4 linked regions of the Cricetulus griseus genome follow. The protein of the gene in region 4 interacts with the protein of the main gene of each other region in a pairwise test. Links are inferred from orthologs where the notes say so. Each region holds a gene or a part of one and is shown on either strand. Other genes may lie near its edges.

Region 1 (4,570 bases), on a different chromosome or scaffold from region 4:
CCCCAGTATCCAAATCCCACCAGGAATCTGAAATGTATTAAGAGAACCAAGGCTCCTATGTCTTAACAATTACCATCACCTAATGGGCTGCCTTGACCAAATCGAACACTCTTTTAGGACTCAGTATTGATTTTTTGTTTGATTGTTTTGTCTCCCCCCCACCCCCACCCCAAGACAAACATTTTTTGTGAAGCTCTGGCTGTCCTGGAACTCACTATTTAGTACAGGCTGGCTTTGAACTCAGAATCACCAGCCTCTGCCTCCCAAGTGCTGAAAATAAAGGTGTGTACCACTACTGCCCGGCATTCAAGTGTTGATTTTGAATACTGAATGTTCTTTTAAAAATAAATATGGCCTCTTTTAAAAATAAATTTGGCCGCTTCTCATCCACATTCAGATGAAATAGGAATCTCAAAGATTTTAGGAATTTGCATAGTAAAAGTAATTAAGTAAAAGCATTAAGTCATTAGTTGGTGCAGTTCCCTTACAAAATACTATTATTTCCTACTCAAAACAAGTATAAGCAGTATGTGCAAGAGAGATGGGAAAGACGCTGGTCCATTGCACAGCTGTTCCAGTCAGCTAGCTCTATGTGATCAGCTATGCAGACCTCTGCATTCCTGGAGTCAGCACTTGCCATCGTATCACTGCATTCCTCTGTAAGGCCACACAGCTCATGAGCTGTGACAGGCCCAGATGCAGAGAGGAGTTAGTTATCCAGTAGCCAGGGAGGACTAATTACAAAAGCAGGCTGCCCTCAGATCTCCTGTCCTTTTAATGTTCCAGAGAAAGGATGGGGGGAGCTATTCCTAAGAGTCATTTCACAATATCCGCAGAGGCCCCACCCTTTGAGATGAAAGCAGAGAAGGAAAATAATAGAAAAATTCTAATCCAGGGAACTTAAAGATATACTTAATACACTCTCCCTACTTAAACTTGTTCATTAGATTACTTGACATCAGTTTCTTCAATTATTAGATTATTACAAAGCATACAGCCAAGCCCAAACTTGGCACTATCAGCAGCTCCTGCCTGCCACAGACCCAGCTACTCAGGAAGCTGAGGATAAAGCACTAGGCCAGAACCCAGGAGTTTTAGATAACATAGCAAGGCCTCATCTCTTTAAAAGAATAAAAGCCAAGGTTGGTGGCAGCTAGGCTTGTTGGCAGGAGCATAGTGAGTTCGAGACCAGCTACAACCAATTACATAGTTCCAGAAAGAACCACATATCAAGACCTTGTCTCAAAAAGTAAGGAGTGGGACTACATATTTGAAATAAGCCCTTAGGCCCTGGATTTACCCTAAGAAGTGTTTCACACTTGTCTGGCATAAGGCAAACCTTGTGTTCCATTCTTTTTACCTAGGTCCCTGGATAACAGTCAACACACTTTGAGGGTCCCTTTGAGGAATTAATGGCCCAGTTACTAAAAAAGGCTTATTGTTAATTTCCTGCAGGGATCTTACTGCAGCTCTTTTTTCCCCACTGCAGCACTTTTTTTTTTTTTCCAACTTTGACTTCAATTTGACCTTTAAAATCTAAGACATTTAGTATGAGTGGGATCCTTGGCTCGATAGCTTCATGCAACTCACTGTTGCTGATGCTATTCTTAAACTCCTGTTTCCTGGCTGCAAGACACCCCCACCCTGCCATCTTTGATACATTCTGCTTTACTTAAGTCCAATTGCTATGACAACGCAGTTTCTTTATGAAAATACTTCGTATTCCTTGACAGCCATGATGATTAGCTTTTCGAAAATACCAAGGGTAAGAACAGACAACTTAAAATATTTGGGGGTATATATCTGATTATTTGGGAGGCTGAGGCAGGAAAAACCTGAGTTTGAGACCAGCCTAGGCTATTTAGCAAATTCCATGCCAACATGGGCTACACAATAAGAGTTTGAAGAGATATTGGGGTGTTGGGGGCAGTCAAAAGGACCCTGTAAAGTGTAGCAGCTAAAAATTATCTCACCCCAGCTTTCTGGGCTATTCATTTAAAATACATCGAGCCGTACTTACACCAAAGCCCCTTGTTTTATATACATATGTACTTCCAGTACCCGAGAGGCTTTTAAAATAAAATTTTTCGTTGAGAAGCATTTCATCAAATTTACAAGGACAGCTTCAGACACAGACAAAAGATTGCTCTATCACTCCACAGTGGCACGGTGGCAAAAATTTGGCCAAAAAATATATTAATTTCGACTTAAAAACAAACAAATAAACCCAGTCTCACATAAAAAGAAAGAGAAGAGCTGTAACCTATTAAGTTATTTATTGGATTTGTATCTCCTACCAAGTGGCGCCGCATCTAACTACTGTACAGGAGCAGGTCAGCACTGGAGAGAAAAAGACATTTATTACCAGGAAAGAAAAAGGAGACCGTTCTGCGGCTTGAGGGCCCGGGATCGCCATACAGGATGAAATTAAGGTCAGAGAGCCCTTCACTGCAGACGCCAGGCTCGTCCTCTTCCACGAGGTGCGGGCACGGATGGTGCGGATGCAGTGCAGTGGGGGGTGGGGGGACGCTCGCGGGTGGGTGCCATCGAGGACCACCCACCACCACCTGCCGCGATGGGTGGGGCCGCGGGCACAGGGAGGGGCCCTCGCGCGCCTTCCCCACCCATGACAGGCCAGGTCGCCGCCCGGCCCCGCAACCCACGCGCCACAAAGGCGGCGGCAGCGGCGGCCCACGGAGCCGCCCGTGAGGCCCCACGGCTCACCTGTCCGCACCGCTGCGGTGCTCCGCAGCCCTCGGCCCTTCCCTCCCCTTCCGCCGCCCTTTCTCACCGGCTCCCGGGGGTGAGGGGCGTGGGTCGCCGCGCTGAGGGCTGCTGAGGAAAAAGATGCGGCGCCGCGGCCTCTGCCTCACGCCGTTCGCTCCGCAGCGGCTAGTGGCGGCGACGCGCGCGCGCTGGGGCTTTTATAGGCGACCGCGCGCGCCCCCGCGGCGGCCGAGCGCGCGCTCGAGGAAGGCTCCCGGGTTGGTGACGCGAGGGGCGGGACTCGCCGCTCGATTGCCATACGGAAAGGGCCGAGCGCGTCCGGAAGGGATCTTGGCAGCGGTGCGGGGGGAGTGGGGGTTGGGATAAGCAACGCGAGGGTGGAGGCGCAAGGGGAGCTCGGGGGCGCGCGTGAAGGGTTCGGGGCGCGGCGCGGCGCGGCGCGGCGCAGAGGAGTCACCGCCTCCGCCCGCCGCGGCGTGGGTCCTGCAATCCTGCCCCGCCCAGTCCGTCCTGCAGAGAATCTGTGCCGCGCCCCTCCGCCCCTGGGAGCCCTTCCGGAACTGCGGCGAAGGGCGGGGCGGGACCCATCGCCGCAGTCAAGCTAGGGATGTTGCTGCCCTGGCCGGAAAAACGCGCTGTCCTTTTCGGGTGATCTCACCAGAATGTTGGCTCTCCCTCTCCACTTTCTCAGGAGGAGGCTTGGCGCTGGGAGCCCCGAGTGTTCCTGTTCTGTTGGGGGCTGGGGCCAAGAAAATCAGATGATTTTGGGGCCCTGTGTTTGAGATAGTAGGGGAAAAAAAAAAAAAAAAGCAACCAAATCCTGATTAGGAAAAAGAAAAAGACTGGTTTGTGGCATTAAGCTTTTATTTCAGGATTTGGAGAATTATTCAGCATTTTTTCTTCCTGTTGCAGTAGAACAGGGTTCGTTCATTCTCGTTGATAAAAAAAAAAAGACATTAGTGTTTCTTTCCCCACAATTAATTGAACTTTGCTGTGTAGGTGACACTGTGTGCTACCTCTTTAGGCTTTTAACCTTTGCACTAATTTTACAAGGTGGATATTGCCTTCCTTGTTTTACAAATGAGCACCCTGATGCCATAAAGGCTAGCATTCTACCCGGGTCAGGTACGAAGCAATTAGAAAAGCTAAGATTTTAACACAAGCAGTTGCAGGTGGTGCTGGACTTTTTAGAAGAGGAAAAACAAGATTTCTGCAATTTCTGTATTTCAGGGCCTGGCTCTGAACTCTGTAGCCAGGCTCCCCTCCAGCAAAAGCTCTTTCCCTTCCTCCATTTGGAAGACAGCTGTGTAGCAACCATTCGAGTAGCACCCAGCTCATTCCTGTGTAGTCAGGCCGACTGGGAGTTCTGCAGCTCCCCCAGGCACCAGCCTCCTGGTTACCAACCGCCCTCCTCGTTAAATAATTACAAAGACACTGGGCCTTGCTCCAGAACTCGGGTGAGGCCCTGTCCTGATATTTCTGTTCCTCTGCAGTTTGGCTTCTCCAGAGCCTAGGATCTGCATTGTGACTTTTAAGCTGCTCTGGCTGTAGGCATGATAGTGAAGATTCCCAGTCCTTTTCCTTGGAGTGGAGAAACACAAAAGGAATGGCCACACCCCAGAAGCAGCTTCACAAATCTTGAGGAAAGGAGGCATTTCCTGCAATCTTTACAGAGAAAATAGGTTGGGGAGCTGCTTCCTGAACTGTTTTTTTTGTTTGTTTGTTTTTTGTTTTTCCTCCCTCCAGACAGTGTTTCCCTTTGTAGCTCTGGCTATAGACCAGGCTGTCCTCAAACTCAGAGATCCCCCTGCCTCTTTCTCCTGAGTGCTGGGATTAAAAGTGT
Region 2 (3,503 bases), about 53 Mb from region 4:
CAGATTCCATGTGTACCAGTTCACTCTCAGCAAGGCACAGTAAATAAGGGACTTCGAGGAGGGGTGGCTGCCTCCACAGGGAAGTGGAAATTTCGGGGGAGCAAAAAATCTAAATCAGCTGGGGGTTGGTGGTGCATGCCTTTAATCCCAGCACTGGGAAGGCAGAGACAGGTGGATCTCTGTGAGTTCAAGGCCAGCCTGGTCTACAGAGCGAGTTCCAGGACAGGCTCCAAAGCAATACAGAGAAACCCTGTCTCGAAAAAAAAATCTAAATCATATTTTCATATGCAAAGCAAGGATACACCAAATATAAATAGTATATAGTGTATCTAAGGCTTTAAAGTTTTATGTTCAAAAAAAAAAAGTGCAAAAAAAGCTGAGCTGGGGGGAAAATGTAAACAGGTTACAAAATCCTGGTTTGGCAAGGCCTGGTGGGACGGGCCTATAGTCCTATCTACCTGGGAAGTTGCAGCAGGAGGATTGCCAAGTTTCAGGCTTGCCTGGGCTGTGGTGGAAGTTCAAGGCCAGCCTGGACAATTTGATAAGACCCTGTCTCAAAAAGTAAAAAGAGAACTGGGGATAAATGCAGCGGCAGAGCACTTGCCCTAGGGTCAATCCCCGGTACCAAATATCAAAAGCAAAAATAAAGAAAAGTTCGACAAACCGACAGGGGGAGATTTAAGAATGGCAATGAGCTAATGAGACTCCATTTTTCTTCCTTTTCCCACAGAACTGAAGGAGGGATCACAAAAGGGGCCACCATTGGAGTCCTCCTCGACTTAAATAGGAAAACGTTAACATTTTTCATCAACAATGAGCAGCAAGGGCCCATCGCATTTGAGAACGTGGAGGGCCTGTTCTTTCCTGCTGTCAGCCTGAACAGAAATGTGCAGGTGAGCACCAGGGCCCTGGGACTAAGGGCAGCTTCCTCAGGTTGCTGCTTCAAAGTCTGCCCAGGGCAGTAAAATCCTCAGAACTCCAAGAGGGAAGCTGATCCGAGGTGCAGACTGCACACCAGCGGACCCCTTCTCATGCCCTTGCCACCCACGCACAGGAAACACAGGCCTCCTTTCCCCTTCCCTACATGCTTTGTTCTAGTTTCATCTCTAACTAGAGCTGAATGTCTTCAACAGAGTGACATGAAAGCCAATGAGATGACTCCTAGGGAGCACCAGGAATGCCCGAGAAAAGCAAACATTAGACCCTTATCAGAAGGCGGGAGAGGCTTCACTCTCCTTCACTCTGCCTTGCACTGTTGGCTGGGAAGCACAGTTACTCTCAATTTCCTATAGATACAAAACAACAGGTTCTTCTCACTCCTTTACTCAACAGGGCCCCTGTAATATGCCAGCTCTGTTGTAAATATTTGATAGTCATCAGTGAGAGAGAAAATAAACAGATACAAATCTTACCCTCCCTAAGCTTATATTCCAGTTACCACTATTAAGCAAGGTGGCCAGTGGGCTGGCCTTGTTGTGGTCACTGCTGATCTGAATCCTGAAGGAAGAAGGTGGTAGGCTGGGTAGAGGTTCCCAAACTTACAAGTTTCTAAGGCACGAGGTTGGGCAGAGAACAGCAAAGAGGCTAGTGGGCTGGGGCAGGGAGCAGTAGAGGGGAGTTGCAAAGCTTGCAAGGAGTGTGGGTGGTCCTGCCGACCACTGTTAGAATCCAGGACTTCACAGCCCTCCTGAGTTGGTCCTCCCATTACCTGACATACACCTCACTAGCCTTGAAATAGGACTTGAAAACAAAATCCTGTAGACGATTCATACCTCCACCTACAGCCACAGCCTTGAAACTCTTTTACATCAATTACAGTCTATGAGGATATGCAGTAAAACTGTTTACAACCCAGCAACCCCTGCCTTCTGGCTTTCTGCAAGTAGGTGGGACTGTCTGGGGATGAAATTTAACTCTTCAGAGGCCAGCCTGACATCAGAAGACAGAAAGCTTAAACTGCCGTAGAAGTGAATATAAGAAAAAACTCATTGTAAATATTCTACCTTTTCAGACATTTCCCTTCCAAAGACTACCACTCTAGTCATGCTTCAGGCTTTCAAGGATGTTACAGCATCTTTAAACAAAGACTCTTGACAGGGATGGTATGGACAAGAAGGAGAAAGTGGCAGTTTTTATGAGATGCTTCTAGTCTTTTCCCATAGCTATTCAGCATAATTTGAGATTGCCTAGAAATTGGCACAACAGCATAAGTGCCATGTTTCTTCTGTTAAAAATCCTTTGTTCAATCCCAGAAAGATTTGTCCATAACTGGAACTCATGAACAAGCTAATATATTCTTTGTCCATAGACTTGGGCCGTGGTCACTTTGTGTAGGCCAAAGGCTTCACTACCTACACACAAGTGCCTTGTCTTCAGTCAAAAGAAATGCAGTCTCCCAGAATACTTTTAAAGAAGTAGGGATTGTGTCTCCTGGGTTTGGAGGCCCACCATCGTTGCCCGGCTCTTACTGCAGCTGGAATCCCGCTAGAAGTCCCTTTAATGTCTTTAGGATAGATGTTCAAGAGAAGTGAATGGGCCCTTATCGAATTGAGGGCACACAACCCCGCACTGTGATTAGATCAATGTAAGCACAGCGTCCTGCATAGCTCACAGTCTCATTCCCCAGGTCACGCTCCACACTGGGCTTCCGGTCCCCGACTTCTACTCCAGCAGAGCTTCCATAGCCTAAGGGTATGCTGCGGAAGGCACTAGCTGTCCAAGAGGGACAGCATGGAGCCACCAGCCTCGGTAGAAGACAGAGGAGAGGAGCTGGTCCTCTGCCATCTCCGCCCCTACAGCGCCACCCTATCCCGTCAGCCTCTCCGCATCACTTCACCTACGCTCCTTCCTCATCCAGACGTCCTAACCCGCAGAGGACCTCAGCCGCCCACCAGTTCCCTTTGTTTCACATGTTGCTTTTCTTTAATTTAGGGTTCGGGGTTTTGGCTTTTTTGGTTTTGTTTTGTTTTGTTTGTAGACTGAGTTTGTTTTGTTTCTTTTCTGATCATGTTTTGCTGACTTACCTAACTGGCACTGCCAAGAGAAAATTCTCCTGGAAACTTTTTTTTTAAGCTTTTGGTCTCACAAAGATGTTGTAGGGAGAGCAGGTAGGAAAAAGGTTGAATTTAGAGTTGGCCATTTGACTCCTAGAATGCTCTTGCCCTGTTTCTTGTCAAGCAACGTCAGCTCTTCATGGCTCCTTCTTGGGAGGTAGGCAGAGTGTACCTGGCACCCAGAAGTCATACTCTACCCTGAAGCACAAATATATCAGCTACACAGATTCACAGCAGGGTGAAGGCTTTCAGATAGGCTGTAGACACTGGGCAGGCCAGGGGACTCAATGATTTGATTCATTTAGCTAATACAAGATTTTAATTAAGAATGCTATGGACAGGCACTTTTCAAGACACTAGAATCTGTGTTCTAGACACTGGGGAAGAACAAGGGAAAAGATGACAACTCTACCTTCCTGGAGCTTATATTCTAGAAGGGGAACAAAGCAA
Region 3 (4,309 bases), on a different chromosome or scaffold from region 4:
TGGTGTTTGAACCTCCTAGAGCCTCATCAGCTGAAAATCTTCAGATAAAGCAGATGGTCAGCAAAGCCTAATCTCTAATGCCAAAGCTGATCCTGAGCTCAGTGTTCTGAGTCCTGATCCCCGAAGCCCTCCACTCCTCCACAGCAGACACTGACAGTCACCCACAAAGTAAAAAACAGGCCACCTCCATTGTGGGCCCTGGACCACATCAGCCGCTCTCCTTCAGTGACCCCCCCCCCCGCCCACTCTACCCCCACCTCACAGCTTCCCTTCAGCCCACATGCTCCCCTTCCCTGTCTTTTCCCATCACAGAGCCTGCTCCTCCCCAGACAACACGCCCCAGACTGGCTCTAGCTTTCCGGATCCAGAAGCCCTGTGTCTTCCTTTAGGGAGTTCCGTAACTCCACCTTACAAGGGTCTCCAGGCTCACTCTCCAGTCACTCAATAAAAACATACCCTCGCTTCAAAGCTCAACGCTTCAATCCAGGGGCTGTGGTCACCCCAATGCCATGCCCTTTGCTTCTCGGCCTCCTCAACCTCCCTAGGGCGGGGAGCTCCCTTATCTTCAGTTCCCAAAAGCCACTTACAACCTGCTTTTTCTCTCTGCCTCTCCCAGGGCTACCTGATGACTATGACATTTAGCAGAGCTGAGCTTCTGGTCTGGCTGACATTTGTCCAATAGCAAGGGACTCTCTTGAGGGAATGTTAAGGAACCAGTGTGGTTAGTGAGGGTTCCTCTTCTGTCAGGAGGATGGCAAACTGGGAGGGGGAGGGGATGTAGGGGAGGGGGATGGAGGCCATCCTTGCCACAGGATCAAGGCCCACTCACAGCCGGGTGCTCCAAGAACTCAAATTTAGTTCAGAATCATCAAATCCATTCAACTCCCAGCTAATACAATGAGCCCCACTCAACACTCTGTCCACCAGTGACGCCTCAAGCCCACACATCCATCGGGAATGGTGTCATCCCACACCCAAGGCCCTCTTGTTGCTCATCTGAGTCCCTCGTTTATTTGGTCAATTTTATCTTCTCCTGCCTCTGTCAGGCACAAAACACGGGTCACGGGACTTCCTACCTGACCCTTCACAGGCTTGCCCACAGTTCTCCAGGAACTCTAGACGGTCTTCCTGGTGTCTAACCCTGAGACTTCTTGCTGCTGCATGGGCTGTTTTCCATTGTTGCTGCACAGCCAGCCCCCGCCCCCCATGACTTATCTCCATATCCTATCCACCCTGCACTCCCTCATCCCTTGGTGACTCATCCCCAAGCTTCCCAAGGAAGCCCCCACCCTCTGCCCTTTCCTCCCCTCTTCCATGAGTGGAAAATCCACCCCCATAGCAGGCCAGCCCCTTCCTCCTGTCTCTATTACCCCATCCCCCCATGGACTAGCTTCCTCTCCAGGACCAGGGAGCAATCACAGATGCCCGGACCTTGGCTTCCTTTGCCTGGTGAGATTGGGAGGCTGAGCCCCCAAACAGGCCCCTGGCTTCCCCCCTCGTCTGAGCAGGGGACAGAGAAGCACAGGCCCAGGACCCAGGGTCTGACTTCCTCTTGTCCCGGAATGAACATGCCTACCCTTTGCAGGCAGGTTTGGGTCTCTCACGCAGAGGAAACCAAAAGCAGAGAGAGGGAGGGAAGGCAGAGCGGCCAATCAGGGGCAGGGTGAGGCTCAAAACCAGCAGGCTCCCCAGGGAACCCCACCGAGGCCTGAGCCATGGCGGAGCTGCAGCAGCTTCAGGAGTTTGATATCCCTACGGGCCGGGAGGCTCTGCGGGGCAACCACAGCGCCCTGCTGCGGGTGGCCAACTACTGCGAGGATAACTACGTGCAGGTAAGTGGAGAGAGTGCATGCCAAAATACCCCTGGAGGGGACTTGCAGCCCGGTCCCCCATGCAGGGTTATCTGACAGGTGCCTGTTGTCGCCTTGACTGAGCAATCTTCAGGCTTCAGCATCACCCCACATTTTCCAAGCGCCCCCGCACTTGTTCTTTCTTACATGGCCTCAGAAGTAGAGGATGTGTCTACTTCACTCTCTATATAATCCTACCTTGCCCCAGCTCATCTCTCATCTCCTACAAAGACCCACAAGACCCTTTCCTCTCTCAGGTGCTGGTACCATTTGCAGGCTGGCTCTAGGGGAGTCGTCAGGAAACTTACCACACTCTAGGGAGTTTGTTCCTAGATGTTTGAGGGAGAACAGAGGAGGGTCTGACCAGGTCAGGATGAGAGAAGAGGTCTGATGGGGCTTACAGCCTGGCTGCTGAGAAACGACGAGGAAGGAGGAACTCTACAGTAGTCTCAATTTTTTTATTTTTGGGGGGTTCTTGAGACAGGGCCTCACTGTATGGCACAGGCTGTCCTTCAGTTCTCTGTGGCTCAGGCTGGTCCTTCTATCTCAGTCTTCCCTCAGGGCTGGGATTACAGGTTCCCACTGCCTCTCCTGGCTGTTGTTTGTGTCGTGTCATTTTGTTTTGGTTTCTTAAGGAACTGGGAATGGAGCCCAGGCTGTCTGGGAAGTGTGTTTCTGCTGAGTTAAGCTCCACTCCACCCTGGGGTAGTCTTGCTCATCTTGTGCATATTCCATAGCATTGGCTCCTGGGAATGGAAGAGAGGTGGAGGGCCTCGCAACTACCCATCCATCCCCTTGTCAGTCCTCACAGTCACCTTGTGAGACAACTCCTGTTTTATAGATATGAAAACGGGAAAGGAGGTGACACGTCCAGGGTCACCTCGCTCTGGAACAGCAGAGCCAGGCACGGCTTCCCTGACTTCTCACCTGAGGTCCTTCCTCTCCATCCTTCTGTCTGTCTGACACAGTGTATGACTTGGGACAGTTTATCTGCACTCTGTCCTTGGTTCCCTCTGCTCCATTAAGAATGACAGGTTAAGTCTGCAGCCCCTTACCCCTGGCCAAAATGTGTGACAACACCAGGTTCCTCATCCTATATTAAGGGGACTTGAGAGGAAAAGGGAGCAACTGTCTGTGGGAAATGGCAGACCAAAGAGGAGCAATGACAGCAAAGTTCTCTCTGTACCTTCCCACAGCCTCTTTTTTGTCCCTACACCAGTGGTGAGAGGTGAGCACCATTTACACTTCACAGCGAAGAAGCTGATATTCGGAAAGGGTTAAACTGGGATTCAAACTCAGAATTCTAGTTGGTTGTAGTGGCCATATCTGTGATCCCAGCACTTGTGGGGATATAGGAGGGGGACCGCCAAAAGTTTAAAACCTGCCTTATAGTCTCTATGTGAGTTCAAGCCAGTCAGGATTACACAGCAAGACACTAAAACAACACAGAGACCAAAACAACAAATCAAAACCCCAAGCAAAAAAGCAGGCAGAATTCTGACTTAGAGCCCAATCACTGACCCTTCAGACCACAGTGCTGCCTTGCCTGTCATTCTGGTGGGTGTGATGAGTGATCAGCCTGGAGACAGATGATCTGGAATGTGGCTTTTGAACCAGCTCTCTCCCACTACTAGCTCTTGGGCATGCTTCCCTGGCAGGGATGGAAGCAGCTCTTTCCCGCACCTGAAAGCGCTTCTGGTGGGTCCAATCCCATGTATGCAATTGGTGTGCACATGGGATCTGAAGCCAAAAGCTGAGTCCCCAGGTCTACCATCTACTGACTTAGGAATCTATGGTGAGATTCCCATTGGTCTTTCTCTCCTTCCTAAGATCTTCCTTCCTTCTTTCTCTCTTTCTTCCTTTCTTCCTATCCTGACATTGTCACTCTGCAGCTCAGGCTGGTCTTGAATTCATGACCTGTCTGCTTCAGTTCCAGAAGGCTGGGATTCCAGGCCTGAACCATCATTTGGGAGATGGGAGGAGTTCCTCTTAGAAGCTATACCTTCTCCAAGGTGATTATAAGTATTGACTGGAACAGTGTGCTGAAGCATTTGCCCAGGGCCCATCATCCTGTAAGGAGGGCAGGATAAATGTAGCTATAACTGCTGCTGTTACCATGTCAGTAGTGCCGTGGTGATGGAACTCCCTCTGTTGAGGTGACAGCTTTTGCAAACATACTCAGGGTATAAGAAACCCTGACCCAGGTTGGAAATCCCTGGGTTCCTTTGTGCAGAGTGCTGGCTCCTAGACCATGCAATCAATAACCATCCCTGCCTGTCATAAGAGGATAGTTTCGGGTGGTGTCTTTCATACGGTCTCCATCCCATCCTTCGCCCACTAACCAGGTGTCAGAAGCCCATGGGGAACAGCAGCAGGCAGATGGGTCAAGTGTATGGTTCTCAGCCAAGGTTGACTGAGTATACAAACAGGGTGATTTGCATGATGAACAAGCAGCTTCA
Region 4 (4,355 bases):
AAAAAAAAAAAAAAAAAAAAAAAAAGAAAAGAAAAAGAAAAAAAGCCATAAGACCCCCAACTATAAAAACACAGGAGATTGAGATTAAGCACTGCTGCACACTTATCATCCCAGACTTTGGGAGGCTGAAGCAGGAAGAATGCAATCAGCGTGGGCTAGACTAACTTCATGGGGGAGGGGAGGTTATTGATAATGAAAGGTAAAAAGAACACGTTAAAAGCAGAGCCAGGTGTAACAGCTCAGGCTTGTAATCCCAGGACTCAAGAGGCCAAGGACTGCCATGAGGTTGAAACCAGCCTGGACTACAGCGTGAGCCCTATCTCAAAACCAAAAGTAAACCAAAACACCAGAAGCAGGCAAATCAAGACCTACTATCAAAGGAACAACGATGTAACAAGTGACTTCTCAACAGGAACAATCAAGCCAGACTATGAGAAAGCTTTCAAATGCTTAGGCAAGGGAAGTCCCGAGTTCTGCAACTAATTAGTGAAAAGATTCTTTGAAATGGAGGAAAGGTCCCAATGCACAACTCTGGATAGTCTAAAAACCAACAAACTGCATGCTTTCATGGGTGTTTTGTGGCATGAGCTACATCTCAATAAAGTTGTTTATGAACCAGAAAAAAAGTGAAGGGTAAAACATTTTCAAACAACATCTAACAATCTGTTGCCAGCAAAGCCACGCACGCACGCACGCACGCACGCACGCACGCACGTGATACTAAAGGGACCCGGCCTGGCTGTATACACTCGAAATCGCAGCAGACAGGAAGATGGTGAGTTCTAGGCCACTCTGAGCTACTGTATTCCTAAGCAGCCTGAGCTACAGGACAAGACCCTGCCACAAAAACACAAAGACAAGCTGAGGAGGTGGTCCCAAGGATAAATTGCTAGCCATGCAAACATGAGGAAGGTCTATCCATATAACCCATATAAAAGTTGTGTGGGGCCAGGCAGTGGCGCACACCTTTAATCCCAGAACTCTATGAGTTCCAGACTAGCCTGGTCTACAATAGCTAGTTCTAGGACAGCCTCCAAGGCTATAGGGAAACCCAGCCTGGAAAACCAGGCCCACCCCCCCCCCCAAAAAAAAAGTTGTGTGGGTGTGGCAGCCTCCTTGCAATTCAAGCTGTTAGAAGGAGACAGGACCAAGAGGATGGTTAGTGCATCTTACCCATACTGGCTGCTGTGTGTTCAACTGAGACCCCCTGCCTCAGTGAATAAATTGGAGAGCTATGGAAGAAGACTCCCAATGCCAACCTCAAACCTGTGTGTGGCCACACATGCAAACATGTATGCACACATACATACATATACGTAAAAGCCAAAGCAGCTATCGCTCAGTGGATGCATGCAAGACTCAGGGTCTGATACCCAACCCTGCAGCACTCAGACACTAAAAGAAGTTCTTCAGGAGAAAATGACAAAGGTGGCAACACAGTTGAAGAAGAAGACGGCCTTGATAAACACTGAGGAATAAATGATGTCAGGTAAAAATGAGACATAATCACTACTTCATATGTTATACAAAAAAATCAATTCCAGGTGAACAGTATCAATTCATGTGAAAAGCAAAACACTGAGATTTCTGCAAGATGTCAGCAAGCTATCATCTTCACTTAGAAATAGAAACACTAAAAAATTAGGAAGACAAGTAAACCCCTCAAGAAAAATTGGACAGGATTTAAATGGACACTTTACAAAAGATGCCAAACAAACACAAAAAGACAATCAGTCTCATTAGTCAACAGGAAACTGCAAGTTAAAACTCTGATGGACTGCCACTCACGCTAAAATTTCAGGCAGACACTACCAAGGATTGTGAAGGATTTTAAACAAGAGCTACTAAATGCTTGCTGATGTAAACTGGTACCGCCACTTTGGGAATTTTGCTTTATCCACTACAGCACAAGATACAAATGTTTTTATATTAAAAAAAAAAATCTCACCAGGCGGTGGTGGCACATGCCTTTAATCCCAGGGAGAGGCAGGTGGATCTTTAAGTCTGAGGCCAGACTAGTCTACAAAGTGAGTTCCAGGCCAGCAAGGACTACACGGGAAACCCTGTCTCAAAACAAACAAGCAAGCAAAAAAAAACCCCTACTTGTGGGTTAGTATAATTTATACTCAAGAGAAATGAAGGCTTTGGGAAGTACACAGGTATATTCACTACAGCGTTTACAGCCAAAAGCTACAAACAATTCAAAAGTCCACTAACAGTAGTAGAATGGATAAATCTATATACTATGCAGGGCAGTAGATGGCAGAAACATGACGAACTTCAGAAATACCTCTAATGAAAGAAGCCAGACACAAAATTACATAGTGCATTATTTGATTTAGATACAGCTCACAAAACGGAAGAAACGAATAAACGAATCTACAGTCGGACACTTCAGTGCTTAGAAGATAAAAATTACACAGCAAACAAACAAACAAACAAAAACCCAAAAAACCAAGCACACACCACCCCAGAAATCAGGGCACGTTTCACCTGGAGAGGGTGGGTGGCTGCTGCTAATGAGGAGGGCGCGCGGCGAGTTTCTGGGTGTTGACCGGGCTCCCTGGCTGAATGGCACATCAGTAGCCATACCTTTATTTATTTATTTACACACGACGGCAGGTTTGCAAGCGAAAGGGGACAGGTCATAAAGAAGGTGAGGAGGCGGCGCCCTGGAGGGGGAGGAGAGCTCCGCATCGGCGGCGGCGGCGCGCTCGGTGGGAAGACACGGGGACCGGCGCGCGGCCTCCCGCGGACCCCGCGGCTTCGGGGGCTCCGGGGCCGCCTGGGTCTCCCGCACCGCACCCCGCACCCCGCACCCCGCGCCGGGCGCTCGCGGCCCCGACTCACCTCATCGTGGCTGCCGTGCGGGCGCGGGGGCCGGGGGTGAAGCGCGGCGCGGCGCGGCGCGGCGGGGCGCTAGCGGGGCAGCCGGCCCCGGGCGCGGCGGCTCCGCGTCTGGCTGGGCTGCAGGCGGCGGCGGCGGGGCTCATCTTCTCCGGCGGGCGTCCGGGCCGCTAGCTGCGGGGCAGCAGCGGCGGCGGCGGGCGGCGGCGGTAGCGACTGACAGCTGGGCCCCGGCCTGCCATCTTGGCGGCGCGCGTGCCCGGGCCGGCGCGTGCGCGTGCCGCCCGCCGACGGCCGGGGGAGGGGGCGAGCGGCGGGGTCTCGCGGGCGGGAGCGTGCGAGCGTGCGAGCGAGCGAGCGAGCCGGGGAGCGGGGGAGCGCGCGCGCGCGTCCGTCCGTCCCTCCGTCCGAGACTCCCGGGCGGCGGATGGGGTGCGCGGTGCACGCGGGGCCGAGGGGCCCCTCCGCCCGCCGAGGGGACTGCGCGCGCCGACGCCCCCCTCGGTCGCCAGCCGCGGAGGGAAAGGGCGCGCGCGGCGGCGGAGCTGCACACAAAAGGCGCGGGGAGCCACGGTCCGCGCCTCCAGGAGGGCGGAGCGCGAGGGGGCGGGGCGGGGCGGAGCCAAGTCTGGAGGGGCGGGGCGAAGCCTTGTGGTTGGGCAGTCCTGCCTGGGGGCGGGGCAGGGGCGGGGCCTAGGGCCCAAAGGCGAAACGGTAGTTTAGAGGAACAGGTAGGTTAGCCTACTGAGTTCCAGGTCGGTCGGAGCAGCCGGTGTGACCTTGTGTGCAAGAGAAAGACAGGTGCCAACCTCAGCGGGAAAGCCTTGGGGTCTTGGAGCTAGGAGGCGGGGTAGTGGGCGTGACCTAGGGCCCAGAGGCTGCAAGGCTAAACTTCAAGATAAGGGTATCTAGAGACTGGACTTGACCTGGACTTGACCTCTGGACCAGGCCTGGGGGCAGAGCCGTGGGGACCCAGGGGAAACAAGGAGAGGCTTTGAGGAAAAAGTGAATAGGGAGAAAGTGGGAGGAGCTCTGCCGGAAGGCCTTGGGGGGTCCTGGGTCTGGGCGTAGATCTGGAGCAAAGCGGGGAAGCCGGGAGGGGCGGAGTCCCCAGGGAAGCCCTGCTGATGACAGAGCTAAGAGAGGACAGGGCAGGTGCAGGGCGTGATTTGGGAGGCAAGGCTGAGCCGCGAGGGTGCCGGGTGGCAAGTGGAACCCTACTGTACAGGCTTTCCAGGGCATTCACAGAGCACTATGAGCTGGAAGACAGCAATCCTACTGGCTTCCTCAACCTGCTGTACTGTTAGCAGTGCCTGGGTTGTAGCCCTCCTGACCTCATTTGTGCCTGTCTTCTTGGGATCCAGATTTGGTTTGTTACAGAAGAGACGTCCTAAAACTTACAGATGTTCAAGACTCGGTTCACCCGAAAGGCATCCAGGTGTGCTCAGGAGAGACAGGGTTAGACCTGGTTGGTACCTGGCTTATTGCTGCTCTTCCTACACTTGGCC

The links.
Region 1: the proteins of Evl (region 4) and Sptan1 interact in binary tests that used the Homo sapiens proteins (3 or more experiments, as listed by UniProt). The link is inferred for Cricetulus griseus from reciprocal best matches to the Homo sapiens genes EVL and SPTAN1.
Region 2: the proteins of Evl (region 4) and E3 ubiquitin-protein ligase TRIM9 interact in binary tests that used the Homo sapiens proteins (3 or more experiments, as listed by UniProt). The two-hybrid records come from large-scale screens. The link is inferred for Cricetulus griseus from reciprocal best matches to the Homo sapiens genes EVL and TRIM9.
Region 3: the proteins of Evl (region 4) and Abi3 interact in binary tests that used the Homo sapiens proteins (3 or more experiments, as listed by UniProt). The link is inferred for Cricetulus griseus from reciprocal best matches to the Homo sapiens genes EVL and ABI3.

The regions. Positions count from the first base shown.
Region 1 is NC_048599.1:141,635,139-141,639,708, reverse strand, and holds the start of Sptan1 (spectrin alpha chain, non-erythrocytic 1), read right to left. Parts: upstream 2,931-4,570; 5' UTR 2,792-2,930; exon of another isoform or gene 2,725-2,791; intron 1-2,724. UniProt on the Homo sapiens protein: Fodrin, which seems to be involved in secretion, interacts with calmodulin in a calcium-dependent manner and is thus candidate for the calcium-dependent movement of the cytoskeleton at the membrane.
Region 2 is NC_048598.1:133,134,887-133,138,389, forward strand, and holds the end of E3 ubiquitin-protein ligase TRIM9, read left to right. Parts: intron 1-730; coding exon 731-893; intron 894-2,626; coding exon 2,627-2,689; downstream 2,690-3,503. UniProt on the Homo sapiens protein: E3 ubiquitin-protein ligase which ubiquitinates itself in cooperation with an E2 enzyme UBE2D2/UBC4 and serves as a targeting signal for proteasomal degradation.
Region 3 is NC_048600.1:108,994,253-108,998,561, reverse strand, and holds the start of Abi3 (ABI gene family member 3), read left to right. Parts: upstream 1-1,332; 5' UTR 1,333-1,449; intron 1,450-1,585; 5' UTR 1,586-1,715; coding exon 1,716-1,832; intron 1,833-4,309. UniProt on the Homo sapiens protein: May inhibit tumor metastasis. In vitro, reduces cell motility.
Region 4 is NC_048598.1:186,226,090-186,230,444, forward strand, and holds the start of Evl (ena/VASP-like protein), read right to left. Parts: upstream 2,959-4,355; 5' UTR 2,856-2,958; coding exon 2,851-2,855; intron 1-2,850. UniProt on the Homo sapiens protein: Ena/VASP proteins are actin-associated proteins involved in a range of processes dependent on cytoskeleton remodeling and cell polarity such as axon guidance and lamellipodial and filopodial dynamics in migrating cells.